4 linked regions of the Arabidopsis thaliana genome follow. The protein of the gene in region 1 interacts with the protein of each later gene in a pairwise test. Each region holds a gene or a part of one and is shown in the gene's direction. Other genes may lie near its edges. The genes, in order: ESK1, ALE2, SBH1 and AT1G11915.

The links.
Region 2: the proteins of ESK1 (region 1) and ALE2 interact in a protein complementation assay, tested with the Arabidopsis thaliana proteins (one large-scale study listed by BioGRID).
Region 3: the proteins of ESK1 (region 1) and SBH1 interact in a protein complementation assay, tested with the Arabidopsis thaliana proteins (one large-scale study listed by BioGRID).
Region 4: the proteins of ESK1 (region 1) and AT1G11915 interact in a protein complementation assay, tested with the Arabidopsis thaliana proteins (one large-scale study listed by BioGRID).

Annotation. Positions count from the first base shown.
Region 1 is NC_003074.8:20,776,780-20,785,033, forward strand, and holds ESK1 (trichome birefringence-like protein (DUF828)), read left to right. Parts: upstream 1-3,395; 5' UTR 3,396-3,630; coding exon 3,631-4,214; intron 4,215-4,317; coding exon 4,318-4,489; intron 4,490-4,627; coding exon 4,628-4,827; intron 4,828-4,925; coding exon 4,926-5,084; intron 5,085-5,803; coding exon 5,804-6,152; 3' UTR 6,153-6,454; downstream 6,455-8,254. Other genes in the region: SZF1 (salt-inducible zinc finger 1), read left to right, coding at 69-1,820; CSLA14 (cellulose synthase like A14), read right to left, coding at 6,683-6,863, 6,941-7,329, 7,427-7,540, 7,616-7,752, 7,838-7,948, 8,037-8,254. UniProt on the Arabidopsis thaliana protein: Xylan acetyltransferase required for 2-O- and 3-O-monoacetylation of xylosyl residues in xylan.
Region 2 is NC_003071.7:8,753,808-8,763,421, reverse strand, and holds ALE2 (Protein kinase superfamily protein), read left to right. Parts: upstream 1-3,123; 5' UTR 3,124-3,576; coding exon 3,577-3,649; intron 3,650-4,196; coding exon 4,197-4,301; intron 4,302-4,392; coding exon 4,393-4,503; intron 4,504-4,653; coding exon 4,654-5,022; intron 5,023-5,103; coding exon 5,104-5,361; intron 5,362-5,440; coding exon 5,441-5,830; intron 5,831-5,940; coding exon 5,941-6,166; intron 6,167-6,244; coding exon 6,245-6,947; 3' UTR 6,948-7,570; downstream 7,571-9,614. Other genes in the region: RIN13 (RPM1 interacting protein 13), read left to right, coding at 339-668, 1,044-1,130, 1,219-2,094. UniProt on the Arabidopsis thaliana protein: Required during the differentiation of the protoderm into shoots epidermis and cuticle.
Region 3 is NC_003070.9:26,191,447-26,198,298, reverse strand, and holds SBH1 (sphingoid base hydroxylase 1), read left to right. Parts: upstream 1-2,572; 5' UTR 2,573-2,832; coding exon 2,833-3,060; intron 3,061-3,811; coding exon 3,812-4,366; 3' UTR 4,367-4,681; downstream 4,682-6,852. Other genes in the region: AT1G69650 (TRAF-like family protein), read left to right, coding at 1-41, 92-276, 361-527, 644-801; AT1G69630 (F-box/RNI-like superfamily protein), read left to right, coding at 5,125-6,066, 6,146-6,286, 6,387-6,659. UniProt on the Arabidopsis thaliana protein: Involved in sphingolipid trihydroxy long-chain base (4-hydroxysphinganine) biosynthesis. Can use C18- and C20-sphinganine as substrates to produce C18- and C20-phytosphinganines (D-ribo-2-amino-1,3,4-trihydroxyoctadecane and -eicosane).
Region 4 is NC_003070.9:4,018,998-4,025,517, forward strand, and holds AT1G11915 (wall-associated receptor kinase galacturonan-binding protein), read left to right. Parts: upstream 1-2,752; 5' UTR 2,753-2,832; coding exon 2,833-3,649; intron 3,650-3,794; coding exon 3,795-3,836; intron 3,837-3,956; coding exon 3,957-4,087; 3' UTR 4,088-4,295; downstream 4,296-6,520. Other genes in the region: APA1 (aspartic proteinase A1), read right to left, coding at 1-20, 105-199, 385-445, 530-882, 972-999; AT1G11920 (Pectin lyase-like superfamily protein), read right to left, coding at 4,670-4,891, 4,998-5,136, 5,226-5,329, 5,411-6,100.

The DNA of each region.
Region 1 (8,254 bases):
CAAACAAAGAATAATATTTATTTTCTGTCAGTTTTTCTGATCATCAATTACTTTTCTTGAATCTACAGGATAGTATTATGTGCAGTGGACCAAAGAGCAATCTCTGCTCTTCAAGAACCTTAACAGAAATCGAATCAAGGCAAAAGGAAGAAGAAACAATGCTTCTCCTCGAATTCGCTGCTTGTGATGATCTTGACTCGTTCAAGAGAGAGGTTGAAGAGAAAGGGCTTGATTTGGATGAGTCAGGGTTATGGTATTGCAGACGTGTCGGTTCTAAGAAGATGGGTCTTGAAGAAAGAACACCTTTAATGGTTGCAGCTATGTATGGAAGCATAAAGGTTTTGACTTTCATCGTTTCCACTGGAAAATCTGATGTGAACAGAGCTTGTGGTGAAGAGAGAGTTACTCCGCTTCACTGTGCTGTTGCTGGCTGTTCTGTGAATATGATTGAAGTCATCAATGTCTTGCTTGATGCTTCTGCTTTGGTTAACTCTGTTGATGCTAATGGGAATCAACCTTTGGATGTGTTTGTTCGAGTTTCGAGGTTTGTGGCTAGTCCGAGGAGGAAAGCGGTTGAGTTGTTGCTGAGAGGAGGAGGTGTTGGAGGATTGATCGATGAGGCGGTTGAAGAAGAGATCAAGATTGTCTCTAAGTATCCAGCTGATGCTTCTTTACCGGATATAAACGAAGGGGTTTATGGAAGTGATGAGTTTAGGATGTATAGCTTTAAGGTTAAGCCATGTTCTAGGGCTTATTCTCATGATTGGACCGAGTGTGCTTTTGTTCATCCGGGAGAAAATGCGAGGAGGAGAGATCCGAGGAAGTATCCTTACACTTGTGTCCCCTGTCCCGAGTTCCGTAAAGGATCATGCCCGAAAGGAGATTCTTGCGAGTATGCTCACGGGGTTTTCGAGTCGTGGCTTCACCCCGCGCAGTATAAAACCCGGCTTTGTAAAGATGAAACGGGTTGTGCAAGGAAAGTTTGTTTCTTTGCTCATAAACGCGAAGAGATGAGACCTGTTAATGCTTCAACTGGCTCTGCCGTGGCTCAGTCTCCGTTTAGCAGCTTGGAGATGATGCCAGGGTTGTCTCCTCTTGCTTATTCTTCAGGAGTTTCGACTCCTCCGGTTTCTCCAATGGCTAATGGTGTTCCTTCCTCTCCAAGAAACGGCGGATCATGGCAGAACAGAGTCAATACCCTTACTCCACCGGCTTTGCAGCTCAATGGTGGAAGCAGATTGAAGTCCACACTGAGCGCTAGAGATATCGATATGGAGATGGAGATGGAATTGAGACTCCGCGGTTTTGGCAACAATGTGGAAGAGACGTTCGGGTCTTATGTTTCCTCTCCAAGTAGGAATTCTCAAATGGGTCAAAACATGAACCAACATTATCCATCTTCCCCGGTGAGACAACCGCCATCTCAACACGGGTTCGAATCTTCAGCAGCTGCAGCGGTTGCAGTGATGAAAGCGAGATCAACCGCCTTTGCGAAACGTAGCTTGAGCTTCAAACCAGCTACTCAAGCAGCACCACAGTCGAATCTCTCGGATTGGGGATCTCCAAACGGGAAGCTGGAATGGGGAATGAAAGGAGAAGAGCTGAATAAGATGAGAAGAAGTGTTTCCTTTGGAATCCATGGAAACAACAACAATAACGCAGCTAGAGACTACAGGGACGAGCCAGATGTGTCATGGGTTAACTCTTTAGTTAAAGACAGTACTGTGGTGTCTGAGAGAAGCTTTGGAATGAATGAGAGGGTTCGGATAATGTCGTGGGCTGAGCAAATGTACAGAGAGAAGGAGCAGACTGTGGTGTAAACACACACAAAGATGGTTTCTTATATATATTGCTTTTGGGCCATCTCTGCAAATTTGATTCTTTAATTTTTGTGACTTTCTTTAGTTGTTACTGTTATTAGTAGTATATGGTTTGTTGTCACTACGAGTCTACGTGATGAAAAGATAGAAGTTAATTGCATTAGTTTCTATATTCGTTTCTCATCCTCTTGTAATTTATCAAACCATGAAATGGCTAAGCAATCCAAACCGTAATATGGCTGAAACAAATATACCATGTCATCAACACGAAACATGCACAACGCCACCTCAATGAGCTTCAAAACAGGCTTTAGGCTATACTCAACAACGGTACATAACATAAGTCATCAGAGGCTTCGCATACTTCCCAAATTGGTGATGTTTTAACAAAGTCTTACTTTAAAATTTCATTAAAATAGTAGAATTTTCTTAGATTGACATACTATACAGTATAAGCTTTTTCATAGAAAATATGTCAAAGATGTTATGGGACGCACGTGTGCCTCAGACACATCACTGCGCACGTGGTGAACTTCAAGTAAAATTCTTATTATATAAATAAAGGTATGAGTACGTATGATATATCCGATGTGTATCTGACTCACTCATACTAACAAAATACAGAGGTTTGGGTTGGGTTACTTTGGCTTTGGTTCAAAGCAAAACTGTTGAACGAACAACTAAAAGTCTAAAACCAAATGGAGTCATAATAAAGTATACAAATTCTGCCAAGAAAATAAATAAATTTACATATATATATATATGTAGTAAGATGATGTAAATAAAATGGATTGGTAATGGCAATGGTTGGTGCCGTATACATATATGTGTGTATGAGATTCCTTAGCCTTTACTTCTCTCAAACAGAAAGCTTCATACTATTATCATTTTGAGTATTTGACCTGTCTTTTTAATTTTCATTTGATTTTGCAAAACATATATACATCTATTTCTCTCTTAACGAACACTGATGCTTCACCCTCAACATGCGATGGAAACATGATTGTTACAGAAAACGAAAGATTAGTTTCTTATCCCAAAACGTAAGATTAATTTGGTACTAATCTACTTTTAGATTTGGTGATTAGGAGGAGTAAACTTGTGTTTAATATAAAACTGATCTTTGTTGCTTTAATATGCATGTTTGGTGAATTACACCCGGAAACATAATCAGATCAACTGGCACATGAGACATTAAATTCATGTTGGATCCTTATGTTTCATAGAACATTATGTTTATGAAACAAAAATGTAAATCAATCGGAAACTTTGGTGGTATACAAGTAAATAATTTGGAAAAATACATGTTTAAGCAAAAGTAATTGTTACTAATATCCTAATTTCTACAATTGTTGTTTCGATGGTCCCTTTCTTTAGGTGAGGATTGAGACAATCTTTTAGAATCTTTGATTCCACTCTTCGCTCCAAACTCTACTTTGCTATAACAACAACTTCAAAATAGATTAGTTAAGCGAATCAGGTTACATTTTAAAGAAAACGATATAGAGAGAGCAACTTTGTATATAATTTTAAAATTCTTCACCTGAAAGCCTTTAAAAACCAGTTCAAGATAAACCCATCTCACCAAACTTTAGTAATCACAAAACTAATTAACGTCAAACAATAACAATTTTTTCACAAATTTAATTCTTTTATTCCTTTATTCGTTGCTCTTATATTTCCATCGATCTTTCTCCTTGTCTCACAAACATTCTGACATTTTAGAGAGCCTCGACAGAGAATTATTTTTTTCTTTTTTATTTTCGTTTACAAGTTTCAATTCTTCTCTATATATTAAAAAAACAAACAGATGCAACCTTGGAGAAGAAAATTTCCATTGTTCGAAACAGGAGTTACAATGAAACAGAGGAAGAACAGTAATCTCTCAATCTTCGTCGTAGTCTTCTCTGTTTTCCTCTTCGGGATCTTCATGTACAATGAAGACGTCAAGTCCATCGCAGAGTTTCCTTTCTCCACCTCAAAACCTCACGACGTCCACGACGAAGCGACACCGATCACAGAGATCACAACACTACCGGTTCAAGAGTCGATCAAGAACTCAGACCCAATTCAGGAATCGATCAAAAACGCAGACTCAGTTCAAGATTCAGTTAAAGACGTAGCAGAACCAGTTCAAGAGGAGGTATCGAAAACAGAGGAAGTTAAAAAGATTGAGCTTTTCGCTGCGACGGAGGATGAAGAAGACGTGGAATTGCCGCCGGAGGAATGCGATTTGTTCACCGGAGAATGGGTTTTTGATAACGAGACGCATCCATTGTATAAAGAGGATCAATGTGAGTTCTTGACGGCGCAAGTCACTTGCATGAGAAATGGAAGAAGAGATTCTCTGTATCAGAACTGGAGATGGCAACCTAGAGATTGTTCTTTACCAAAGTAAACCGGAAAAAAGCTCTGTTTTTGTTTTCATCGATTCTTTGGGTTGGTTTAGTTTTGGTTTCTTCTAATTTTGTTTCCGGTTTTGTTTGATTTGGTGAAGGTTCAAAGCGAAATTGCTGTTGGAGAAGCTAAGGAACAAGAGAATGATGTTCGTTGGAGATTCCCTAAACCGGAACCAATGGGAATCAATGGTTTGTTTGGTTCAATCAGTGGTTCCTCCCGGTCGAAAAAGCTTGAACAAAACCGGTTCTCTCTCCGTCTTCCGAGTCGAGGTAATTGAAACCGACTAGTTTATTTCTTATAGTAATGATAATGTGTTTAGTGGAGTTGCTGATTTTCGAGAGTAGTTAAGATAAGTGTGGATTAGTTTTCTAGTTATTAATGTTGAATTTTTGGGTGGTTTTAAAAAGGATTATAATGCGACGGTGGAGTTTTATTGGGCACCATTTTTGGTGGAATCGAATTCAGATGATCCAAATATGCATAGTATACTTAACCGTATAATAATGCCTGAGTCCATTGAAAAGCATGGAGTCAACTGGAAAGGCGTTGACTTTCTTGTTTTCAACACTTACATTTGGTGGATGAACACATTCGCTATGAAAGTCCTGTAAGTCTACTACTACTTCAATATTATTACCTCTATGGTGTGTTATGTATTTTACAAATTTTGTGAATTGAGATTGTGGAAATTGACGATGAAATCAGACGAGGATCGTTCGATAAAGGAGACACCGAGTATGAGGAGATCGAACGGCCAGTAGCGTATAGGAGAGTGATGAGGACTTGGGGAGATTGGGTGGAACGAAATATTGATCCTCTACGTACCACTGTCTTCTTTGCTAGCATGTCTCCTCTTCACATCAAGTAATTAATCTTCCTTTCTTTTTTTCTTAATTGTTGCTTCAATACACAGATTTTAGTTAGTGATGCTTTGCTTGCAAATTGAAATTACTGACAAATTGATAGGTCACTCTCCATGTTTGACTAGTGTCACCATTGAAAATTTGAAATGATTACATAATTTAGTTTCAGTGATTGAGTGACATATGCGTTTCTTAGAAATTAATTCCTACTAGCTCCTGACTCCATTTAATTGACCTGCTAAATATTATACGTGAGAGTTAGTAGTTTTTAAACTTTTCCTTAAACCAAAATGATTTCAAATATGATTTGATTTAAAACAGGAAAAGGTTGATCATTTTGTGTTTTTCTCTGGATTAGGTTATTGATAGATTGCCAATTATAATGTCACTTAGTTAATTCTTTATTTTTGTTATAATAATCCAAAACAAAAAAAACACAGGTTGGTATAATCATTAATAACACCAGACCATAATATTTTAAACCTGCGGACGTAACTTAACTTGAAAACCAAGCAACTACCAGAAAAGAAAAAGAGATAACAAGTCGTTGTCCTTTGAAAAATCCACACAGTATACAAAAATCAGCTAAAAACATAAAAACTCTAAATAGTATTTCATTTTAACGAGTTGGTGAACCACCCACATATTAGACTTTTAATTGTATGTGTTTATCTTAACTAACAAAATATAGTTTGTAATTTTTGTTGTTATATTGTATAGGAGCTTGGATTGGGAGAATCCAGATGGGATCAAGTGTGCATTAGAGACGACACCAATCCTAAACATGTCAATGCCATTCAGCGTAGGAACAGACTACAGACTGTTTTCAGTAGCGGAAAACGTCACGCATTCTCTTAATGTTCCGGTTTACTTTCTCAACATTACCAAACTCTCCGAATACCGGAAAGATGCTCACACTTCGGTTCACACAATCCGACAAGGCAAAATGCTGACGCCGGAGCAACAAGCCGATCCCAACACTTACGCCGATTGTATCCATTGGTGTCTTCCCGGTTTACCTGACACGTGGAATGAGTTCCTTTACACACGTATCATTTCCCGTTCGTGACCTACAAAATATTTGAAATATCTCTTTTTCAATATTTTTTCCCACTTTGCTCCATCCAATGGAAGAGCCTTGAAATTTTATTATTTTGATGTCCTAATGTTCATAATTTTTCTTGAATTGTAATTGTGAAATGTTTCTTTCTTTTTCTTTAATGGTTATTAGAGTGCCTAGTAGGCTATTTTAACTGTTTTTGTACTCTTAAAACTTTGAAATGAGGTGGATAACAAAGGATGCCAAATGTTTTTTTTTTGTTCAATGAAGTGGGTAAAACTTGCTCACATTCGACTGTTTCTTTTAACGGTCGATTTTTTTGTTAACCGGGAAAATAAATATAAAGGTCATTATGTTTCAATCTCTTGCTATTTTGTTGGACTATTAAGATTTTTGAATGTTAGATCGTTACAAAGGATTCTTCCATTAAAACAGTAACATGATCACAAAACCACATCTTTTAATCACTATACAATCGAACCTTTTGAAAGAATGAATGTGTAGGAGAAGAAGAAGAAAGAAGTTAGATATGTCAGTGGTTACTCGGAAGTCTGGACCGGCGTACTTGGAACCGGCATTCCAACGTAGCCAACTCCAACAACAAAGAAGGCAATGGACTGCAAGAAAAGATACACGTAAAGGTATGTCCTCCCAAACACAAAATCATAGTATCCACATATGAAGAGATACATTCCAACCATTATCTCTCGCCATCGAAGTCTGCACAAATTCGAAATCATATCATTGATTGATTAGCCATTTCGCACGATAAATCTATTCGGGGAAAAAGTTCAAACCTCTCGGGGAAGCTATAGTGATCAGGAAAAATGAGGTTTTCCCTGAGATTGTTACTCTCTCCTAGTTTTTGTGTAACAATCCATTCTTTAACTCTACTAGTCTCTAGCAATCCAATGAGAGTTCCTATACTCCTATGCATCGCCATTACGTTTTCAAATAAGATCCAATAGAGTATGAGGTAAAATGATTTAGGTGTTGCAATAGCGTTTAGGATAGTGATGGTAGCTGGAATGTAGATAGTTGTCCATTTAGGGACTTCGATCTCCGGGAATATAACGGTAGCTGGCAAAATCACGCAGTAGAAAACGAATGTGAAGATGTGTACAACAATCTTCCTCAAAAAGAAGAAGTTGTATATCAAATACACCTTCTTCCATAAAGACACATTCTGTTTCAAACATGTCACACAAAAAAAGATAAAGGTCATTGAACTATATTTGTGTTCCGAAAGGAATTAGATTTGGGGATTTATGTAATCTATCTACCTGGTTTTTGATGATCTCCATTGCAATTTTCTTGAAAAGGTTCGCTGGACCGCAAGACCAACGATGTTGCTGAAACCGGTATGCTTGAAATGAGCTCGGAAGCTCGTTTTTCACCTTAAATAAAACTCCCAAAGTTTAGTCAGATCACTTCAGTACAGGTTGAATCATTGCATTCAGTTGATAACAAACCTTAACATCGTCGACATACACAAACTTCGAGCCGCGTAGATAAGCTCTAACAGCTAAATCCATGTCCTCGACTATCGTGCGGTCTTTCCATCCTTCAGCCTCATTCAAAGCTTTAATTCTCCACACACCAGCAGTACCTAAAGTCAACGATGTTCTTTTAGTAACTCAAATTAAGATCATATAATACAAGACACACAAAGAGCATGTTTATGGATGTTTCACCATTGAATCCAAAGAAACCAAGTATGGAGGATCCAGACTTTTGCTCCACTGCAAAATGGTAGTTAAGAGACATCTCTTGTATTCTTGTCATACAACACTCATCAGCATTCCCTGTCACGCACACACAAACATAATCGATTTAACAAATCGACTACACCGGGTCTTTAGCTAACTAGAAAGGGAAGAAGTAAGATCTAACCATATTTCCAGCCGGCTTGTACAAGAGCTATCTCAGGGTTATGGACAAGGAAAGGAACAGTACGTTCAAGAAAATCAGGTTCAGGCTGAAAATCAGCATCAAATATAACAACAAACTCGCACTTGTATTCATCCACGTAACTATGCTTCATTCCTGCAGTGAGAGCTCCTGCTTTGAAACCCTCTCTAAAACCGCCTCTAACTTCCGACTTTATGGTT
Region 2 (9,614 bases), on another chromosome or scaffold:
AACAAATGAACAATCAATGAAAAACATATAAATCCATCAATTTCTATAATCAGCCCAGATTCTTTTGAGTTGAGGCCCATTAGGCCCATATTCATCATATACCCGTTCAAAACTCGTCATTTCATCGTCACCACCACCAGTACAACATCCGCTTTTTGATTCCAAACCAAACCCTAATTTCTCAGCTCGAAGTTTCCATTTCATTGCTTCTTCTTACCTCGATTTTTCCCGGGTATTAGAATTCGGTCAATTTACTGAATTATAGTGTTCTCACATGCCAACTGATTCTACTTCAAAATCGCTGCGAATTTCTGCGATCAGTTACGAAAATTTTGTCAATGGGTTCGGGTAATCATGTTGATATAGTCGATGTGAGCTCAGGCGAAGAGGATGTCGATACACGGGGAGACGTAGAATACACCGATTGGCTAAACGGTGTTATGGAACCCGTCGATGATACATCTGACAGTACCGATATAGTCGAGGTTCTTTCTGAGGTTAGAGGTGGTGTAAATTCTCAGTATCGGAAGCCAAACTCGTCGAATCAAGCTTTGGAAGATGATGACGACTGTGTGATTTTGGACTGTGATCCCGACAAGACGAGGGAGACTACTTCAGTTGACGACGACGATGATGATGATGTGCTTGTAGTGGGTCAAAAGGGTGAGGTATGTTTTCACTGAACCCTTCTCATTTCTAAGTTCTCTTTCGTTTTCTTCATTCGAATTGGTGTGAAAGGCAGAGTTTCTCATTTCAGATTATGTATGCGTTAGTGTTGTTTAGCTCTGAGGAACTGTTTTAGGAATGGATAGTTATTGAACTGTTTTGTGTTATTGTAAAGTAATCGTTGTAACATTGATGAACTTTTTTTCTTTGGTGATGGAACTGTTTTAGGAATGGATAGTTATTGAACTGTTTTGTGTTATTGTAATTTAATCGGTGTAACATTGATGAACTTTTTTTCTTTGGTGTGTTCCATCTTTATACAAGTGTTGTTCACTTAAGTTTTCCTAATATGAAAAAGCATTTTTTTTGTTTTGTAGATAGCATGTAGAGATTTCCCTCATCCGCGACATTCGTGTGCTAAGTATGCGTTCAACTCAACATCACATGAGAAGTACTGTGACATGGTAAGTATCTAAATATTCTCTAATTCTACACGGAGCGTTAATGGATTCTTTTCCTGGCTGATCCTTTTCATTTGGTTTCTCTTTCAAGTGTCATTGTTATGTGTGTGACATCCGTGCTCCGTGTCCATACTGGTGTATCGCTGTCTCCTCCATAGATCATTGTCATGCTAATGATAAAGAGAAGATATGGAAGAATCAACGTGAATACTTCAGGACAGGATACATGCCTACCGCACCATCTTCAAAACCTACTCCAAGTATTTTACGGGTACCCAAAAACACTTTGCTTCGGAAAAACCATGTTGAGATCCGGCCTTGTTCATCATCTACCCGTGTTGCTAATCCTTCAAGTGTCAAAGCCAGGCATAGAATCAGGCAACCGATTCCGCACAATCAAGGGTTGCAGAGTCAACCGGCACAGTCATTAAGCACTGTTCGCGACAGCGTGATCCAAAAGGATAGAAGTTCTTATAGGTTTAGCCTACGATCCCGAGTAGCCTCTTCTGCGGGAAATGGTATCAGCATCCGATTTAACAATGCTCAAGTTTCACAATCCAGTCACCATAGCTCTTCCACAGTGGCACCTACATTAAACCCGGAAACGTACACTCAACAACGCAATGTTCGTGATCATTGCACAGCGCTACCTGGTTCTCAGAGCAACGTGTTCACTCGACATGCAGACCAGAACATACGTGGTAGTGGAAATCGTCAGTTTCAGACAAATGTGGATCGGTTTGCTCCGTCCAAAGCTCCTCTTACTGCTGAAGATTCGCATACAGCTACGGTACAACAGCAACCAGGGATTAATGAAAACGTCTTGGAGACCAAACTATCGGAATTTGAGAAATGGCTAATGGAAAATCCTAACCCAACCGGCCCTGTTAGTCCGTTACCTGAACCGGGAAATCAAGACTATGCTAGTACGTTGTCATTTGATTTTGAAACATTTTTGAATGATTGAAAGATTCATAAGGGTAGTTTGTATCTCCGTCCCTAGGTTAACTCTCTTCACTGATTGTATTTTGTAGAGGGAGTGCTGTAGTTTATTACAATCTCGATTGTGTGTATCATTTAATTAGCTGCTACTAGTACATCATAAAATTAAGTCCTAAAAAGTACCTGTTTGCCAATTGACATAAATAATGTTTGTTGATTTGAGTTTTTTAAGGTCAAAAATCAAACATACCATCATTATCACTGCCTGTTTAAATGATTAGGGAGGGGAAAATATCCATGTAATGTAAAAGAAGACAATCAACAATCGAAAAGCGATAGATATAGAAAGAGGCACACACATATGGTCTTGATTAAATTTGATCAAACTTCTATTTTGCCTAATAGACAAATAGTCCAAATTTATCAAAACCGGAAAAACATTGTTATATTTTGGATCAAAATTACTTCTACCATCATTTAGTTAGCTTTTAATATTTTAGAAACAATTGAATTTTTGACCCAAAAAAAGAAACAATGGAAATAACTGATAAAGTCTTCTTAAAAGTATAGGAAATTTTGCCAAGTATATAGTATTAATTTTGGAAACAAACACGAAAATGGAATAGTTTTGAGAGTTGATACTTGTCATTTGTGGAATTATTACTATTACTTTTTAATGTAAAATATTTCGAAAATAAACTTTTAACAAAAGTAAAATCCGAAAATACTTAGTTTCCAAGTTTATAGAAATCAAGCCCAGCCCATTTGGGGTTTTTAATTTTTTTTTTTTTTTTTTTTTAAAAAAAAAAAAAAAAAAAAAATCAAACCCAAAACGATTCCGTTTAGTAGGCTAAAATTCAAGTAAGTCCCGGCCCAATAAGGCAACTAACGCCCAAAAAAGAAACGGTTTTGTCGATGTGACGGTAGCAAACGGCCACCAGTTTTGTCGTTTCGATGTGCGTGGCCACCACGCGCATACGAAACCGCGTCGGTGTTCGCTAACGCCATCATCATCGCCTTTTTTTTTTTTTTTTTTTTGCCTTTCTCCGAAAGCAGTCTCACTACGGCAACACACTACCCTACGCCCCCTTCCCACCATCAGCATTAAATTCTCTCTCTCTCTTCGCTTCTTCTGGTTTCGAATTCACTTTACTCTCTTCGCTTCCAATCTCTCTCTACCACTCTGATACCTTCGCCGGAGAAGAAGCTCTCGTTCTCTCTATCGTCGGAGAAGCTCTCGTTCTCTGCTTCCCTGCTCTGTACAGATCTCGAGCCGCATTTCGTGGATCTGTCAAAATCGCGTTAAAACCTACTCGCTTCTCTCTAACCCTAGGGTTTTTGAATTTTTTTCGGGACGAGGGAGAAATCAATGTCTGTGAAGCTTTGAGGAAGCTATATGGTTACACCTTTGGTTCTGGTTAGTCTTCGTTTTGATCGGCGGAGAGTGTTCGCCGAGGCTTGGTGTCTCCGTTATTGACTAATGGTGGTTTTTGATTTGAGATAAGAGATGCGGAACTTTGCGATGCTTCTGCTGTTAATTCTTCTTCTTCACTCTCTCGCCTCGTTTCCTATATGCTTTGGTATGAACTAGTTAACAAATTTCTTTTCCCCTTTTCAAATTTAGGAAACGATTTTGATAGGAGAAATTAACCTTTAGTTAAGTTGCTCTTACTTTGACAGCTCAAGATTAGTTGGTGGTCTATCTATATTTAGAATTGTTTATTGGATTTAGATATATTTAGAAGCTAATTTTGGTTATGTACAAAGTAAGCAAAAGAGTTTAGATTATTTAAGTTTGGAATCTGTGATTGTGAAGCGTGAGAGTGAAGATCAAGTCCTCACGTTTTGTGCCTTAATTGGCACACAACCTTTTAATAGCTAGAATGCACATAGATCTTACTCTTTCTTTTCTGAGTATCTTGAGGAAATATCGATTTTGTGTGACATTCTCTTGGCCAAATTTTATCCTCTACAGTTGGCATTATACTTTTAAACCCAAGAGAGGAGGATGGAGTATGCATACTATTAGAAACATTCTATTTTTTCGAAACTTTTCACTGCTATGAATATTCGACATGTGTAGAAAGAATCTATAGATGACTTATCAGCTTGCTTTATCATTTGCAGCTCGGTTATTTCCGATGAGTTTGCCATTTACCCGATCAAAGGCGCATCAAATGCATTTCTTTCATCCTTATCTTAATCCATCAGTTGCTCCTACACCTTCACCAGGTCAGTAAGGGAATCCTATTTGTCACCTAAACATAGTGTCATTATGTTTCTGTCTAGGAGTATTCATTGTTCATTGTCTTTCCCTTTTTAGCTTTTTCCCCCAACCCAAGTCGCATTCCACCACTAAGGCACAAGGGTCATCACCGTCATCGTCGCTGGCATTTAAGACGCAATGCCACTGCAGTGTCACCTTCGTCACATGGTAGTTCTTTTGCTTCTTGTTGGTTATCCTGCGTCCTATTATAGTGGCAACGATAATGTTTTATATGAATACTTTTTCTTCAGACTTCAGTTGATAAATCAAGCGTAGTAACTACTTTTTCCTGTGTATTTCCGGCTTTCCTTTTGATAGACTGTCAGCAGACATGTGTGGAGCCTCTCACTTCAACTCCCTTTGGTTCACCTTGTGGTTGTGTCTTCCCCATGAAAGTTCAGCTTCTACTAAGTGTCGCACCTTTTTCTATTTTCCCCGTGACCAACGAGTTAGAAATTGAGGTTGCTGCTGGAACATACTTGGAACAAAGCCAAGTGAAAATAATGGGTGCCAGTGCCGACAGTGAAAATCAAGGGAAAACAGTGGTGGATATTAACCTTGTTCCACTTGGGGAAAAGTTCGACAACACTACAGCAACACTTATTTATCAGAGATTCCGGCACAAGAAAGTACCTCTAAATGAGACTGTTTTTGGTGATTATGAGGTTACGCACATAAGTTATCCAGGTAAACTGATTTCATTCAGATGCAAGTTTCTACTTTTTTTTTGTTTTATTTCAAAGTTTGAACTTCTTAACCTTGCTTCAGGAATTCCTTCTTCTTCGCCAAATGGAGATGTTACTGGAGATGCTCCAGGAGGCCTTCCAATTCCGATCAATGCAACAACTTTTGCCAACAAAAGCCAGGGAATAGGTTTTAGAACGATTGCAATTATTGCGTTGTCAGGTTTTGTCCTCATTCTGGTTTTGGTTGGAGCTATTTCTATAATCGTGAAATGGAAGAAAATTGGGAAGTCATCTAATGCTGTTGGTCCGGCTTTGGCTCCATCGATTAACAAAAGGCCTGGTAATTTTCACCCTCTGACTTCTTAACGCTTCTATAGCTTTAAAAGAACCTGTTTCTGAAAAATTTATTCGCCTTGCAGGTGCTGGATCTATGTTTTCCAGTAGCGCCAGAAGCTCAGGCTCAGATTCTTTGATGTCTTCCATGGCTACATGTGCTTTATCAGTTAAGACCTTCACACTCTCCGAGCTTGAGAAGGCTACTGATAGATTCAGTGCCAAGAGGGTTTTGGGCGAGGGCGGATTTGGTCGTGTTTATCAGGGGAGTATGGAAGATGGAACTGAGGTTGCAGTGAAACTGCTAACTAGGGACAATCAGAATCGAGACCGTGAATTTATTGCCGAAGTCGAGATGCTAAGCCGTTTGCACCACCGCAATCTTGTGAAACTGATTGGAATATGCATTGAAGGTCGTACACGTTGCTTGATTTATGAGCTCGTCCACAATGGGAGTGTTGAGTCCCACTTACACGGTGACATATTCTTTTCTCTGCACTTTTAATAACAATATATCCCAATTATATCCATCACTTCTCGTTGCATCACCACCTAAAACCTGGCTTTCCGGTTGTTGACAAAACAGAAGGAACGCTTGATTGGGATGCGCGGTTGAAGATTGCACTTGGAGCAGCGAGAGGACTGGCTTATCTCCATGAAGATTCAAATCCCCGAGTAATCCACCGTGATTTCAAGGCTAGCAATGTTCTCCTAGAAGATGACTTTACCCCAAAAGTCTCAGACTTTGGACTGGCAAGAGAAGCAACCGAAGGAAGTCAACATATTTCAACTCGAGTCATGGGGACCTTTGGGTAAAATTTCTTTCCAACTCAAATATGATGAATACAGACACTCTGGACTTACAGTGACTACCCTGGAAATAATTTCAGGTACGTGGCTCCTGAGTATGCAATGACGGGGCATCTCCTTGTTAAAAGCGATGTCTATAGTTATGGTGTAGTTCTACTAGAGCTTCTAACCGGTAGAAGACCAGTAGACATGTCTCAACCTTCGGGAGAGGAAAACCTTGTGACATGGGCGAGACCCTTACTAGCCAACAGAGAGGGCCTGGAGCAACTGGTGGACCCTGCATTGGCTGGAACCTACAACTTTGATGACATGGCGAAAGTGGCTGCGATTGCCTCCATGTGCGTCCACCAAGAGGTCTCACACAGACCATTCATGGGTGAAGTTGTGCAGGCACTAAAACTTATATACAACGATGCAGATGAGACCTGTGGTGATTATTGCAGCCAAAAGGACTCATCAGTACCAGACTCTGCTGACTTCAAAGGCGATCTGGCTCCTTCGGATAGCAGCTGGTGGAATTTGACACCTCGGTTAAGGTATGGTCAAGCTTCGTCGTTCATAACAATGGATTATAGCTCAGGACCACTAGAGGACATGGAGAACCGGCCTCACTCTGCCTCTAGCATTCCAAGAGTAGGAGGTCTTATTCTACCAAACAGATCAGGTCCGTTAAGACCCATGCGTAGTAGAAGAAACTTCTTTAGACTGAGAGGAAGCATGAGCGAACACGGTGGACCGTCGTCGTCTAGACATCTCTGGTCCGGCAATGGTGACTGGCTCTGAGAAACCAGAAAATGTACAGTGAAGAAAAGGGAAAAGGAGGCTCACAAACTCTTGAGCTGCATGGTTAGGTTCTGGTTAATCCGGCCAGGTTCGGTTCATCTGGGTAAAGATTTCCGGTTTGATTTCTTTTAGGAGCTGTTTGTTGTTATGATTATCCTCAATAGAGATTTAATTGTTTGTTTTTGCGAGGATGCAAAAGCACAGGGAGGGTTGTATTTTGAAGGACGCCTGTATTTAGTTCTCTCCTTTTCTCTCTCACCCACAAAAAAACATTTTTATATATTTTATTTTAGTGAAGTTAGTAATTACCTAATTTTTTTTAGTTTTTCAAGTTCCTAAGAAATTTGGCTTTTGGTCATCGTTGTTAAGTTTCCGGTTTTCTGAATTTACATCCGAAATATTTTTTGGTTAAATAAAATTCTGGCTTGAGAGTAATTGGCTGGTGAATGGTAACAAGTCACTTGGTCAAAGCTGTTGTAATTCTTTTCTAATTTCTAGTATCTTCTGTAGATTGGACACAATGACATGGATTGTTGATCTTTAAAGTCGTAGAGTATAATTTGATATGTTTGTCTTTCTTCCTCCATATCTTCTTAATTCCTCCTTCCACTTCAGCCAAACCGAAGCTTGCTTTCGAGTTTCTGAGTCTTCTTCATTTTGTTATACAACACAGTCTAAAGAAAGAAAATCTGTAGGCCCAATAAACACAAAAATCGATTTATGGGCTAAGCAAACAACGGTCACAGTGGCTGAGTAAACGGAAGAGAAAAAAATATTTTAAAATTTTGAATTTAAAATTAATAAGGTCTTATTGGGCCTACATTATGAAACCTATCTAATCTCTCGAGATATAACAGTTGAGGACAAAACGCTAAAATCCGTTTGCGTTTGGTTTATATTGGCAAAAGCAAAATAATTTTTAATCGAGGAATATGTAGGAACGTCCGATTTAAGTATCTGACTGATCAGATCAACGTGACCAAACGAACCATGAAATGAATGCTACTGGAACCCAAAGTAAAGAACAAAGAAACTAGAATTGCTAGTTAGTATTCATAATATTAATAGTTAGTTTTTTAAGAAGTTAATTTTTTTTAATTGCTAAATATTTTTAATCAATAGTTAGTTTTTTTTCTTATATTATCAATTAAATATTTATTAAAATTTTCAAAATTACCGTGCAAAATTTATACTAAAAAATTATATACTCAATTGTTTTTCATATTACTTTCTTATGAAACTCATATCGTCATATGTATTGAGTTTAATTGTAATGATTTATTTTCTAATGAAAATAAGGAGTTAATATTTTCCAATTGATATGTATATGTGACGTATGAGCGAACAAAAAAGAAGAAGAAAATATATTTGTGGTTATATAGAAAAGAAAAATGTTACAAAAAATGGATTGTACCGAAGACAAAACCTCATGAGTCACTTAAGTAGAGAGAGAAACCAACTGAGCCAACATATCATTCCGAGTTTTGTTTTTTGTGTCTAAACCATAATTTCATGTTTGTGTTGTGTGAAAGCCATGGAAGCCGGCGGGAGCAAAACCAAGAAATGAGTTGCTTGCTACAAGAGGTACAATTCTTATAGAGAATATGTTTTTCACATCAAGATTGCGTTCCATTCGATTCATCAGCCTTAGTGTGGGGTTTGCTTCAAACATTGTAAATCATTCGAATCTGTTCGAGAACACCTTCACGGTATGGCTTGAGCTTATATGATCTTCTTGTTCTCTGTTTTTTTGTTGGGTTGGTGTTTGATTGATGATTATTTTGAACAATGTCAGTTCCGAACCATCCCTCTCGACCATTCAAAGAAAAATGCAAAACCATTTTCGCTGAAAAAGGGTGTGAACTTTGTCTTCAAGTCTTTGTGGAAGCCACTGCTAGGGATGAGCATATGAAAGAGTGTCTCATGTCTTCACCACCTCCTATCCAAAATGCTTCTAGTGCAAGTGGCACACGCGTGATGAGTCTGTGCATATCTAATTTTAGAAAAAACTATTTTGACTCTAGTGGATACAAAGATGTTTTTAACATTATACACTGTTAAAATTGAGTTTTTTTCAATGACTTTATCGAAAACATATTGCGTTCTATAATATTAATCAAAGATAAAATCCTAATAAAACGTAAATATATAACAATTTCTTTTTTTAATGAATAGTCTATAACTTTTCTTAAAATATAAGACTAGTATGTATCATGCTCATAAGATGGAAATAAAAACATGTTAAAATATTAAAGAAATTATAAACTGAATTGGCTTTAGTGGTTATTTAAATTTCAATTAAATTTATTTGATTTAAAAAAAAAGAAAATCTTCTAAATTAAATTGGCTTTAACGGTTATTTAAATTTTGATTGACTCAATTCATCTACAATTATTTTTTAAGAAATTTTATAATTTACAATTTTTTTTTTTTGCCTAGCCGTATCGGTTAGGGTCATGTTGATCTTTAAAATATAAATTTTTATTTGTACGGACCGAGATCAAATATATGCGGGTTTTGCAGACTAACCCAATTGACATGCATATTTGTTCCAATAATTATGTTTGTTCTTTGGATCTTCTAAACTTAATCACTTAGTATAATAATAAAGACCAAGCAGAAACAAAATTTATAGCAAAAATAAAACAAGAATGATTGAAAAAAACA
Region 3 (6,852 bases), on another chromosome or scaffold:
AGCGGTTCGATGCACTTAAAATGGTGTGGGGATTGCCAAAAGTTTTTCCATATGAAACATTCATTAACCGCAAAATGGATACCTATTCGAGGGTAATGAATGTGAGTTTGGTGTTGATGTCATTGTTGCTCCACCTCTTACCAATTGGGAAATCCTCTCTTTTCATGATGAGAAACTCTCTTATCCCAAGGTCACTTGGAGTGTTAAGAACTTTTCTCAGTGGAAAGAAAATGAGTGTTCCAAACCAAACAGATTTTCAATAGGAGGAAGGGAATGGTGAGTATCTATATAAAAATCGTTAACAAAAATGTATCTCTATAGACATGTGTGTATGAATGTTCGTAATTTTATCTTTTGTAGGGTTCTAAAGCTGTTTCCGAAGGGCAACTCTAGAGCAAAAGGCAAATATTTATCCGTGTTTCTTTATTTAGCTGATAATGAAACACTAAAACCAGATGAGAAGATTTTCACGCAAGTAGTTGTGCGAATTCTAAACCCGCTTGGATCCAATCACGTGGCAAGCCGATGTAATTACTAAAAGACAGTTGCATTATTATCTTATTACTTTTTATAATCTTTCGATATACAAACTGAGATATTAATTACTCTCATTATAACTGTTTCACATTTTTTGTTCTTGCAGTGAACTACTGGCACAAGGGATCAAACTTTGGTTACGGTTGGTGTAAATTTCTTTCCTTAGATAAAATTCGGAAGACTTACTTGGACAAAGAAGACACGTTGATGATTGAGGCCGAATTTGAAGTTGTTTCCGCGACCAAATTCTCTACCATTATCTAAACTCTTTTTTGTTTTGTTTACTTATTAATTTACTTCTACATGAGTAGAATAGGAACCAGTAGATTACTAAGACACAATGCTATGTCTTGGACCAGTTTTTTTTTTTTTTTCATTCATGTTCTCAGCTGGTTTTCTATTAATTCTATTTTATAGGGGAATTGGCAAAACTAACCAACAAAAAATTTATAATTAAGGAACTAACATCAAAAAAAAAAAAATGATATCCTCTATATTTTGTATATTAATTCCAAGTTTACCCCTCTATCTATTTCTCTCATCTTTCTTTATGTGTACCTCTATCTTCCGTTCTCTCTCCTTTCTCTCTTTCTCTCTCTCCCCCTCTCTCTTTCTCTCTCTTTCTTTTTCCCTCCCCCTCTCTCTTTCTCCCCAGTAAAGTCCTTACACCTACATTGTTACTTGTTTTTGTTTTCAAATCAGAGTCTCTTAATTACTTTTGGGTGAGATTTGATTTGGGGGTTTCGAATTACAGAGGGAGGAACACAATTTGGATTCAGGGAATCGACTTTCGTTGTTGCGCTTGGTGTCTTGGTGATGAAATTGAGTTTTGTTGTTGCAATTTGAGAGATACTATTCTATTTGTAAATATACTATTTACGTATACTTTGTTTTATATACGTTTTAAAATGAATTATTTGTTTTGATTAAGGATGTTAAGTGATTTAATTATTGGTTTAGATTTAAACCCTTGGGTTCCCTATATATTATCCCTTAGGGTTTAATATCTTTCCATAAAAAAATATTGTGTATCTATATAGAACGTTATGTTATTCATTGACAACACTATTCACATCTAAATTATTTTGTGTCTGTTTTAAAAAATTTAAGTCATGATATATGTAGAAAACTATACAACTTTTAATTGATATATCATGAACTTGAATTAATTTTTTAAAGATTAGATAATATGAATTATAATTGGGAAGGGGTAAAGAAAAAAGAAAGAGAAAAAGGAACTTCTCTCCTACCACCTGATTTCTTTTCTCACCTCAACACTAATAATAAAGCCACGTCACCTCACACTAAACATTTTCCTTCCTCGCTGACAAACGTAACATCAGGACAGTGATGTCTTTTCACACCCCTTGAAGGTTATTTATTACATTTACAAATTTATGGTGTTAGTTAGTTAATTATTTAGTAAAAAAATGCTATATCTGCAAATCACCCTATTTTATAAGAGACAAAAAAAAAAACTGATTTTCCATAATCTCCCAATCTATTTTCCAATGTTTATTGACAATGGTTTTATTTCCTATATCGAAAATGAGTTTCTTGAAAAGGTTTTATCTAAAAATTTCTCATAATATCTAGTTATCTATCATTCTTAACCATTTATCTCTCATGGTTAAGAATCTCTTCTATTTTATAGAAACATAAAATATAAGAGATTGCCTTCATTCAATTAGTATTATCGGTAGTAAAACTTCGGATACTGATTTTTTTTTTGATTAATTCATTAATTATGAGAGCTAGTAAAGATGAATTTTATACATTCGTCACATATGTTTAAACTTATACGGCGTCGTTTCAAAGACGACATGAAACTAAAACGAGGAACAAAACAACCAATCACGCCATCGCTAACAGTAATAATAATCAAACACGGTAAGTACGAGATTCTTCTTAGCGAATCAACCGTTAAAAATCACATCAAAAGTATATACGATCGAGATTCCGCCACGTAGATAACTCACTGTAGATCTAACCACACTGGATAATTAGATATTTTTTTCTTTTTTCTTTTCAATGAGTACAGTTCAGCCACGTCTGTCTCTCAGACCAAAACGCAAGTATCGTCCTTTGTTTTGTTTCTTTCTTCATCGTTGATTTGTCAACTCAACAACGCCCAAACCCTAAAACAATCCCCAATCATCGTTTCAATAATCAAATTTCCCCAATTGAAGAATAAAGATCAAAACTTTGGAAGTTTTCCTGTGAAAATAATCTATCCTTTTTGCATCATTTGCGTTTTGGTTGATGAAGAGGATCTGAAGAAGCTGAGATTTAGGAATGATGATGGGTTTTGCTGTATCGGATGAATTGTTGGGTACTGTTGCTCCGATTGTGGTGTACTGGTTGTATTCTGGGATTTATGTAGCGCTCTCCTCTTTAGAGAGTTATAGATTGCATTCAAAGGTTGAAGAAGAAGAGAAGAATCTTGTATCGAAATCTTCTGTTGTGAAAGGTGTTCTTGTTCAACAGGTTGTTCAAGCTGTTGTCGCTATCCTTTTGTTCACGGTACCGTTTTTCTCTTTTCCCATTTTTGAGTTGTTTTGCTTTTGTGAAATTGAAGTGAAAAGTTAGGTAAAACATATTGGGGAATTTTGATATCTGACGCTGACTTTTTATGTGTGGAATTGGATGGTTAAGATTTTTGTTTTTAAAAAGGTTAACTTTTTGGGTTGATGTTGTCTTTCGACCCATAAAGAGAAATGGGTTATGTATTAATGATCTTAAAGTTGGATCATATATTGACTGTTCTAACAATAGTTAAGAGCTTTAGAGGAAAGTATCAATAGGGATTGTTCTGTGATTTGGCAATAGGGTTTAGACTTGGCAGACCTTATTAGGCTGCTCTAGAATTCAACCAAGGACTCTATCTTAGGCTCCGTTGGTCCTCTGTTCCTTACTTGTGTTAGATTCAGAGAGGACTGGTTCTTATCAGCTTATCTGATGAGAAAACCAACAAACATAGTAAACCTTGCTAATTGTGATCTTTAAGCTTAAGCAAGTTCTTTTGTTGAACTGGAATGTTGTTTTGTTGAACTGGAATGACTACATCATCGGTTCTTTTGTTGAACTGGAATGAAGCGGCATCATCGGTTCTTGGTTTGAATTCGTCTGATCCTGAGTACTTGTAATGTATGGATTTGCTTAGACATGCCGCTGATAGAATTGACTCATCAATATCATGGAATATCTTCTTTTCTGTTTGTACTAGTTTTTGCTTTTAACCTTCTTCTAATATGCTTCTTCATTGTCTATACAGGTGACGGGAAGTGATGCCGAAGCAGACAAAGCGCAACAGTTTTCCTTCTTGGTCCTAGCAAGACAGTTTGTGACTGCCATGATAGTCCTCGACACATGGCAATACTTCATGCATCGATATATGCATCAGAACAAGTTCTTATACAAACATATCCACTCTCAACACCACCGTCTTATCGTCCCTTATGCATATGGAGCTTTATACAACCATCCAGTGGAAGGTCTTCTCTTGGATACAATTGGAGGCGCCTTATCTTTCCTAGTCTCTGGTATGTCTCCAAGAACTTCCATCTTCTTCTTCTCTTTCGCCACGATCAAAACCGTGGACGACCATTGCGGTCTCTGGCTACCTGGAAACTTATTCCATATGGTCTTCAAGAACAACTCGGCTTACCACGATATCCATCATCAGCTCTATGGAACCAAATACAATTTCTCTCAGCCTTTCTTTGTCATGTGGGATCGGATTCTTGGAACTTACATGCCTTACTCGCTTGAGAAAAGAGAAGATGGAGGATTCGAAGCTCGCCCGACTAAAGAATTCAAAGACGATTAAGATTTTGGAGTTTGGATATATGTTATGTATCTGCCCTGAGGTTGGAGAAATGGATGATACTTTGTGTTATTGGAGGTGTAGTTTTAAAATCAGAAACAGAACTGGTTTTTTTGCGTTTTGCGTTTCTTCTCAAGAGCGAATTTAGCTTGGAGTTTGAGATTTGTATATAAACATTATTGAGTTGTTGTTCTACTTTCGGTTTTTGTTTTGCATGTAATATTACTACAACAAACATGTTTTTTTTATAATCTATCCATCTACGAGGCCATTCTTGAAAGATTTTGTGTTGATTTTGTTTTATAATTTCTTCACATTCACATTTTAGTATTGGATATTCTTAGAAGTATTGTAGTGCAAGATGAAATATTACAGATTTAATAATCCTCCAGATGTTTGATTACCACATGGAGCAATTCTTTGCTACTCGTTAGTAGTGTCTAGACTAAATAAAACAGTACCTGCGAAGCCTTTTGCTTGTCCCACAAGAAACACAACCACATCAGATCTCAAAGTTGTTCAACAACTACATGTTTACATGATCTCTTCATCAAACTCATCGTTTCAAATTATAATGCGTTTTCTTTTATGTTCTTATTTCTCTAAAGCCCATAAGGCCCGTTATACAAATACAATGCGATTTATACTATAAAACGATGTCGTATTAACTGTAGACTCGTTTTTTTCTTGTACAACTGTCGATTCGATACTCTCTTAAGTTTTTGAGGGTTTCTTATCGATTCGATATTTTTTTTCTTTTCATGGATGAAGATAGAGAGAAACATGTTCGTGCGAAAGGATCTGATGAAGTTGATTGGATAAGCAAATTACCAGATTGTTTGCTATGTGAGGTACTCTTGAATCTTCCCACAAAAGATGTTGTTAAGACTAGTGTTTTATCCCGTAGATGGAGAAATCTCTGGAAACACGTACCTGGTTTAGACCTAGACAATACTGATTTCCAAGAGTTCAACACATTCTTGAGTTTTGTTGATAGCTTTCTCGATTTCAACAGTGAATCATTCTTACAAAAATTTATCTTGAAGTATGATTGTGATGACGAGTATGACCCTGACATTTTTCTTATCGGACGTTGGATCAACACTATCGTCACGCGTAAAGTTCAACATATCGATGTTTTGGATGATTCGTATGGGAGTTGGGAGGTTCAGTTACCTTCAAGCATTTACACTTGTGAGAGTTTGGTATCTTTAAAGCTTTGTGGATTAACTTTGGCTAGTCCCGAGTTTGTTTCTTTACCTTCACTCAAAGTTATGGATCTGATTATAACTAAGTTTGCTGACGATATGGGGTTAGAAACGCTGATTACGAAATGCCCGGTTCTTGAAAGCTTGACTATTGAGAGGTCTTTTTGTGATGAGATTGAAGTTTTACGTGTGCGGTCTCAGTCTCTGTTGAGGTTCACTCATGTTGCGGATAGTGATGAGGGTGTGGTTGAAGATCTTGTTGTTTCAATTGATGCTCCCAAGCTTGAGTATTTGAGGCTAAGTGATCATCGAGTTGCAAGTTTTATACTTAATAAACCCGGTAAGCTTGTCAAAGCGGATATCGATATTGTGTTTAACTTGAGTTCCGTGAATAAGTTTAATCCAGATGATCTACCAAAGAGAACTATGATACGTAATTTTCTCCTCGGCATCTCTACTATTAAAGATATGATCATTTTTTCGAGTACTCTTGAGGTACACTACAATGTTGAATTTGCTATTTGATTGAATGTGTAACTTTATTCTTTCCTGATACTTTTTTTTTTCCTTACAGGTTATCTATGATTTCTCAAGATGTGAACGACTACCCTTATTCCGTAACCTATCTGTCTTGTGTGTTGAGTTTTACGGCTACATGTGGGAAATGTTGCCAATCTTTCTTGAGAGCTGCCCGAATCTAAAAACTCTTGTCGTGGTGAGTATTGTCTATTGAACCATGAAATTCTTATTAAGATGCAAAATGGTGAAAGTTTATCATATCTTGAACTTGTGTTTCTTTCACTCGGTATATGCAGAAATCTGCTAGTTATCAGGAGAAGGGAGAAAATATTATTTTGCCGGGACCTAGGCGTTTCCTATCATCTCTCGAGTATGTTAAGATAGAAAGGCCATTGAAAGGAGAGGCGATGGAGATGAAACTAGTGAGTTACTTACTTGAGAATTCAACCATCCTCAAGAAACTGACCCTATGCTTGGATGATTCCGTGAAGAAAGAAGATTCTGTCATCCTAAAAGAACTCCTTGCCATTCCAAGACTCTCTACATCATCCAAAGTTGTCGTTCTCTGATGATCCTCGTAGTCATCACCAATAAACGTACAAGGTTGTTGTCTCTAAGTACTTAGTTAATACGAATTCTCTGTTTTCTTTTAGTTTGTGATGATATTGAAGTGCTTAAGTTCGTAAACGAATCATGTTTTTGGCACAAATCAATCAGTATCACTCCATCGTGGCAAAGATATGCTTTGGGAGATGTTAAGAA
Region 4 (6,520 bases), on another chromosome or scaffold:
TTGGTTGCCTCGATAAACTCCTGATGAGATAGACAAATGTTAAGAAGGAGGTCATTGATGTGTATGTTGTAAGAGTACTGATTAGGGTCGGACATATAGTTTACCTGATCCTTGACAACTAAATCGCCAACTGTGACAGCATCATTACTAAAAAAACCAGCAATTGCTCCAGTGCCGTAATGAATTGCGGCAGCTTTTCCTGCATCAAAGATGAGCAAGTTAGTTATAACCTAGCAGCTGCTATCAGTAGTGATGTTGCATCTTTTAACAATGGTTTTCTGCACATTAACATGAATTCTAGAGGCTACATTGAGTGAACTGTAAAGTATCTACCAACTGGGAAATCCAACTGCAAAAAATTTCAAGTTAAGAGAGAGAACAAACCATTCTTCTCATATGTGCTTGAACGAGACGACTTGTATTTGGGATGCAAGAGACATGCAAGCTGCAAAAGAGATAGAACACAATTAGTTTTCTACTCAAAAGTATCTCAACCACAGCTAACAACAATAGTCCAAATGTTGCTTACTGAGAAATAGCATTTTGATGATGGCACCCAGAGGTTAGAGCTCCCAGTGTCAAAAACCACAGTGAACTTCTGAGGTGGAGTACCAATGGCGATCTCACCATAGTACTGAGCATCTAGATAATTCTTAAGCACAACAACATCAGCATCTCCAGAATCTCCAAGTCTGTAAGCTCTCAGGGGCTTTTCTTGCTTGGATTCGACGCGTGCTGCAAGCCGATTTTTCGAATCCAACTTGAGTTTTTTCAGTCCAACTCTGAAGGTCCCGTCATTGCGCTCAGCAAAGGCAGAGAAACACAGGAGGAATGACACAATGAGTGAAACAGCAACCGTTCTAGAGTATATCTTCATTTTACCTATTCATTGACAACAAAAACCAAAAACATAAAACAAAGAAAGTTAGAATCAAGAGACCATCACAGAGAAAAAAAGCAGAGAACCATACCCATAAAAGTCAACCAGTATGTATACATATATTTATATCAGAGAGTTCATATTGAATGATGCAACATAAAAGAAAATTTGTAAAGTGACTAAAAATAGGCTAACTCGGTCCTCCTCCTCAAACAGATAACGAAGGACAATGTTACACGCAATATATTGTACAAACTACAAATTATTAGTTTAATTGGTCTCTCTCAATCAGCCACGAAGCAATAGCGTGGAAGCAATAAATAAAGTAAAAACTCTCTTGACTTTGCAAATGACTAAAGACTTCTTTTGCTAGAGAAAGTGATATAAACCTTGAAATCGACATTTGCTTGCCGAAATCAGAAAGCAAATACCCAGATTACAACAAAACCCTAAACATCCGTTCCTATAAACCTTTTCAACATAAATGGAAAGTTTTGTTCAATAAGACAAGCAATCTAGTAAAAAAAGGAAACAATCTCAATTGCACCAAGACTCACATGCAACATAATTGATTCATAAGACACTGAAAATCGCCACAATCGCGACAATAACAAGAGCATGAAATTTATTTTCTTCTTCTCAATCAACTAAAAACGATCACAACTATAATCGATAAATCTTCAAGTAAACAGTCCGATTACGTAATCAAACAAACCTAAAACCCCAAATAAATTCATACCACCGATGAAACCAAAATTAGCCACAAACCATACACAGATCACAAAATCTAAGCGAGTCTACTAATCACATCATACAATCATCCAGATTCAAAATCGAAGAACATGAAATTCGGTAACAAAACTCTTACCTAACTGCTCAGAAAACGATTTATGAACAAATCCACGAGTATTAAGGACAATAAATTAAGCAGAGAACTAAAAGTATAAGACAATCAACGAGAAGAGAATCGATAAGTTTCATAAGAAAGAGAGCTCACCAAAGCTAAAGCACCAGATTCTCAGAGAAATGAGGATTTTTGTTGAAGAAAACGAGAAGAGAGATGGTTACATTTATTTGCGAAGAAAGAGATGACTGTGAGGAGGGATAATGCTAAATTAACCGCGCTGTCTCCTAAATGGACAATTACAGGTGGAGGCCCACTGTATAATCCCGTCAAAAAAAAAAAGGAGATTTCGTGTGGGCTAATGTTTCGTTATTAGCCGTTGGATCTCTATATTGAACGATTGGATTTAATCGTTGACGGATGGATAGGAAGGCGTAACGTATCAAGTTTTATATTTAGTGAGAAATCACGTGTTTACGAATTTAGAGTGGATTACGTGCTCCTTGGAATACTAACCGTTGGATTGAGATGACTGAAATTGAACGGTTTCGATTAAAGAGTTCACCTTACATGGATAATGATCAATGTGTTGTTTATATTGGGCCTATGAGAAGCCCAATGTGTTGTTTACATTGAGATTATCTTCCAAAGATTACTTCACAAATCACAACCCTTTAAACGAAATTCTAAATAAAAGAAAATTCAAAACTATTATATACTGAAATTACTATTTTGTATTTTATAAGGTTCTCATACATTTTATTTTTTTTGTTAAATGGTTTTTAGATAACATGTTAAAGAACAAATTTTGTTGTAAAATATCAGAAAAAAGAATAGTACGTTTGTTGACATATTGTATGTAAATATTTCAAATAATCTGAAACAAAACCACGAGTCCTCTTGGAATACTTTATACTAAAAAGAAAGGTGAAATTTTAAAAACAAACCGAAACCTAAAATAAGCAATATTAACAAGCACATGACAAGATTGATTCTTAAACTCTTTAACAAGACATTCCAAGCTTACTCAACACTTCACACCACCAAATTATAATCTCATAACTAAAAACTACCCAATAATCAAATCTAAACTCCTAATTTTTGAACAATGTCTCCACTTCACTCTTACATTATCTTCTTCTCCCTTCTCATGACCATCCTTCTTCAATCATCAACAACATCATCCCAATCAAATCTCTGCAGATCTTCTTGCGGCAACATTCCGATAAATTACCCTTTTTCCATCGACGACGGTTGTGGTAGCCCTTATTACAGACACATGCTCATTTGCTCCGACAACGATACCAAGCTCGAACTTAGAACACCATCTGGTAAATACCCTGTTAAATCTATAAGCTACTCTGATCCTCACCTTCTTGTCTCCGATCCATTCATGTGGAACTGTCAAGATCGAGACAATTTTCGACCCACTAGATCTTTTAGCATCGATTCAAGTACACACTTCACTGTCTCTCCTCAAAACGACTACTTGTTCTTCAACTGCAACACCGATAAAGTTATCGTCGAACCAAAACCGCTCTTCTGCGAAAGGTTTCCAGATAGATGTGACTCGTCCTGCGATAGTTCTAGCTATCTATGCAGACATTTGCCTGAATGTGGCTCTGCTTTGGGATCTAGGGTTTCTTGTTGTTCGTATTACCCTAAAGCGACTCAATCTCTTAGGCTCATGCTGCAGGACTGTGCGACGTATACAAGTGTGTATTGGAGGAGTACAGGTGTGGAGAATGCACCGTATGATCAGTTTCCAGAGTACGGGATAAGGGTTGATTACGAATTTCCAGTGACAATGAAGTGCCTTCTTTGCCAAGAAACGACTAAAGGTGGTGGAGTTTGTGGGTTTAATACGAGGACACGAGATTTTTTGTGCCTTTGTAAACAAGGCAATGTCACTACTTATTGCAAAGGTCAAAATGTCTATGTTCATATCTTTTCGTCCTAACTACAATTTCTATTGAGAACTATTTAACTACTATTAGATAGTTTTTTTTTTGGTAGGGACTATTAGATAGTACTAATACGTATTTTCAATCATTTTGATACATTCTGCAGATCCAAGCCTCGTAAACCATAAACGCGTAGGAGCTATCGCAGGTAAATAAGCAAGTTTACTATAACTACAACATGAAGTTTGTGGTCATCTTATTACTATATGACTTTATATATACTTGTAAGTTGTGACCTGATTTGAACCGGAAAATTTGTCGCTAACAGGAACAGTGACGGCAGTTTCAGCGGCAGGAGCGATTGGCGTTGCCGGTGGAGTATATTGGTACTTGAGGAAAGTGAGAGCCAATGCTCCGGTCACTTGTGGAGTTCAAAGCAATGAGAACAGAATTTTCTAAAAGCTCCAATGAAATCATAATTTTAAAAAGATTAAAAGCATGGTCACACTCACACTCTTCTTTTCTTCTTTTTTCGCTCTCTTTTGCCTTTTTTGTTCTTTACCTTTTATCTTTGATTTTGTGTATACTACAAGTTCTAGATAAAGATTTTCGTATAATTTTTTGTGTTTTCTTATACAATAGTAAATTTTTCGTTTTGGTCGGATAGTAATCTTTTGGTAGGCACCAAGCAAGAAAAATTTTGCAAGCATAATGGTAGCTGTACCGTCATCCATATTAAGAATCACATAATTGTTCGTATAAGCCAAGACAAAAACTTCTCCAAAATACTATACTCTTCACATTGGTCAACTTCAAATCTTTATACAAAACAAATCTTGAAAGTAAAACAAAAAGTATATAAATCCTCCAAGATAACTTGAATTCCGTCCCGGGTACTGAATAATTCACAAAACACACCTCAGGAACAGGAATTCCGCCTCGTCGTTTCCAAGGAAAGAAACAAAATTATCAAAACGTTACATTTTATGAAACATTATATATAATCACATATGTATATATACGTGAATAATAATTAATTAGTTAGCAAATTCTGCCGGAATAGCAATGGAGAGGACCGGCGGATGAAGTAAGCAAAGGGACGAGAGAGCCGTGAGACACCGGAAACCGCTCTGCTCTTCCGTACAACGGCGTGACGGTTCCGTAGCCAGAAGGCACGAAGTAAGCTCCGTTCTTAAAAACGTCTTTGGACGTTCTCCATTTCCATCTCTTCCAATCATATCCACTATCTATTCTTTTTGTCACCTAAATATATAGAATCATATATATGCATGTAAGATTTCATTGCATTATTGATGTGTGGTATTGTAATGATAGTTATTAAAATATTAACTATTTTAAATGAAGAGACCTGTTTTTTGCTAGGGTCATCAGAAGCAACGAAGTAGTTGCCTTCACTAAAAATGGTTGGATCAGCACTTCCTCCGATCGCATACATTTGCCATTTCTCGTACCTATTGTTTGCTACATGCGCATATCCTCTTCGCACTCTGCCACGTCATCAGTCACATATCCATGTCAGCATTTTCTAATCTAGTTCAAGTAATCTAGATATCAATATGTATGCATGTACACTCACCTAGGCATTCTCTCAATAAGACCCGGTCCGAAATGGTTGAACGCAATTGTAACTCTCATGATCTTATCTTCCACATTATTGTCATTATGTCCGAGTAACATCACCTTCATAAAAACATACCAAATTATCATCAAGTATTCAAAATACTATTGTAGAAGTTACATCTATGTAAAATATAAACTTACTTTATCATGCTGCGTGAAGTAGTTATTAGAAATAGTGACAGCCGTAGAAGCATGAAGTACATCGATCAAACCATCTTGACACCGAGAAAAGAAACAATGATCAATCCAAATATGTGACGAATCAAAAATGGCTATTGCATCACCGTCCGATCCTTTCCGGCTACCAACATGGGTCGGGCTGCTCCGTACCCGCCCCGACTTACCCGGTTTACAATCATGGATACTTATCCCATGTATAATGACATGGCTCACATGTTGGATCGTTATGCATGGTCCATAGGCAATTTCCACTTTAGCCCCTCTTCCATCAATCGTCTTGTAGCTGTTCATGATGAGCTCGTTACGCAACACTATGACCATGTCACGTGCAAATGTGATCCATAATGGTTTAGATTGGATCACTGCGTATCTCAGTGTTCCGGGTCTAGGGTTTTCAGGGTCGTCTGATGGGTTTGTAACCACGTAGATCGACCCGTATTTCCCCCCAACCGCAGATTTTCCAAACCCTACCGCGCAATCGGCTAGTGCACGACGGTTAGACGCCCAATAAGGGTTTCTTCGCCAGCAAGAATCGATAGGGTTTGGTAATAGTTTGGGAATGGTATAACCATTACTGTAAGCAGCCTCTACAACAGAAGAAGAGAAAGCTGCAAAGAGAAGTGAAATAATTGTTAAGAAAAGAGAAGCCATTTGCTAGAAGATGTAAGGCTTGAATTGAACTATGTGTGTGCAAATATATATACACGACAATAGATATAAGCTAGAGAATATACATATCAGTATCTATTATTAAGTATATATGATTTTGTGTCTATGTGTGAAAGATGAGAAGGTGGGACACACGGATGGCGCTGACTAATGAAATGAAACTTATATTATCGAAATACTTCTTTGATCAACGCTCTTCGCTTATTTATAGATAGACGTGGGTGCACGAGCTTGAGATGACGATGGATTAATGGTTTTGACTTTGGATTTTAGTTTGTACTTGTTTAATAATCTCACAAGTTTGGAGTATATATAATTTAGTCCTTTTGTATATATAAACATAGTGACTAGTCTAAGTCTATGATTCGTGAGTTCGGTACACAAAGACACTGCATTTTGACA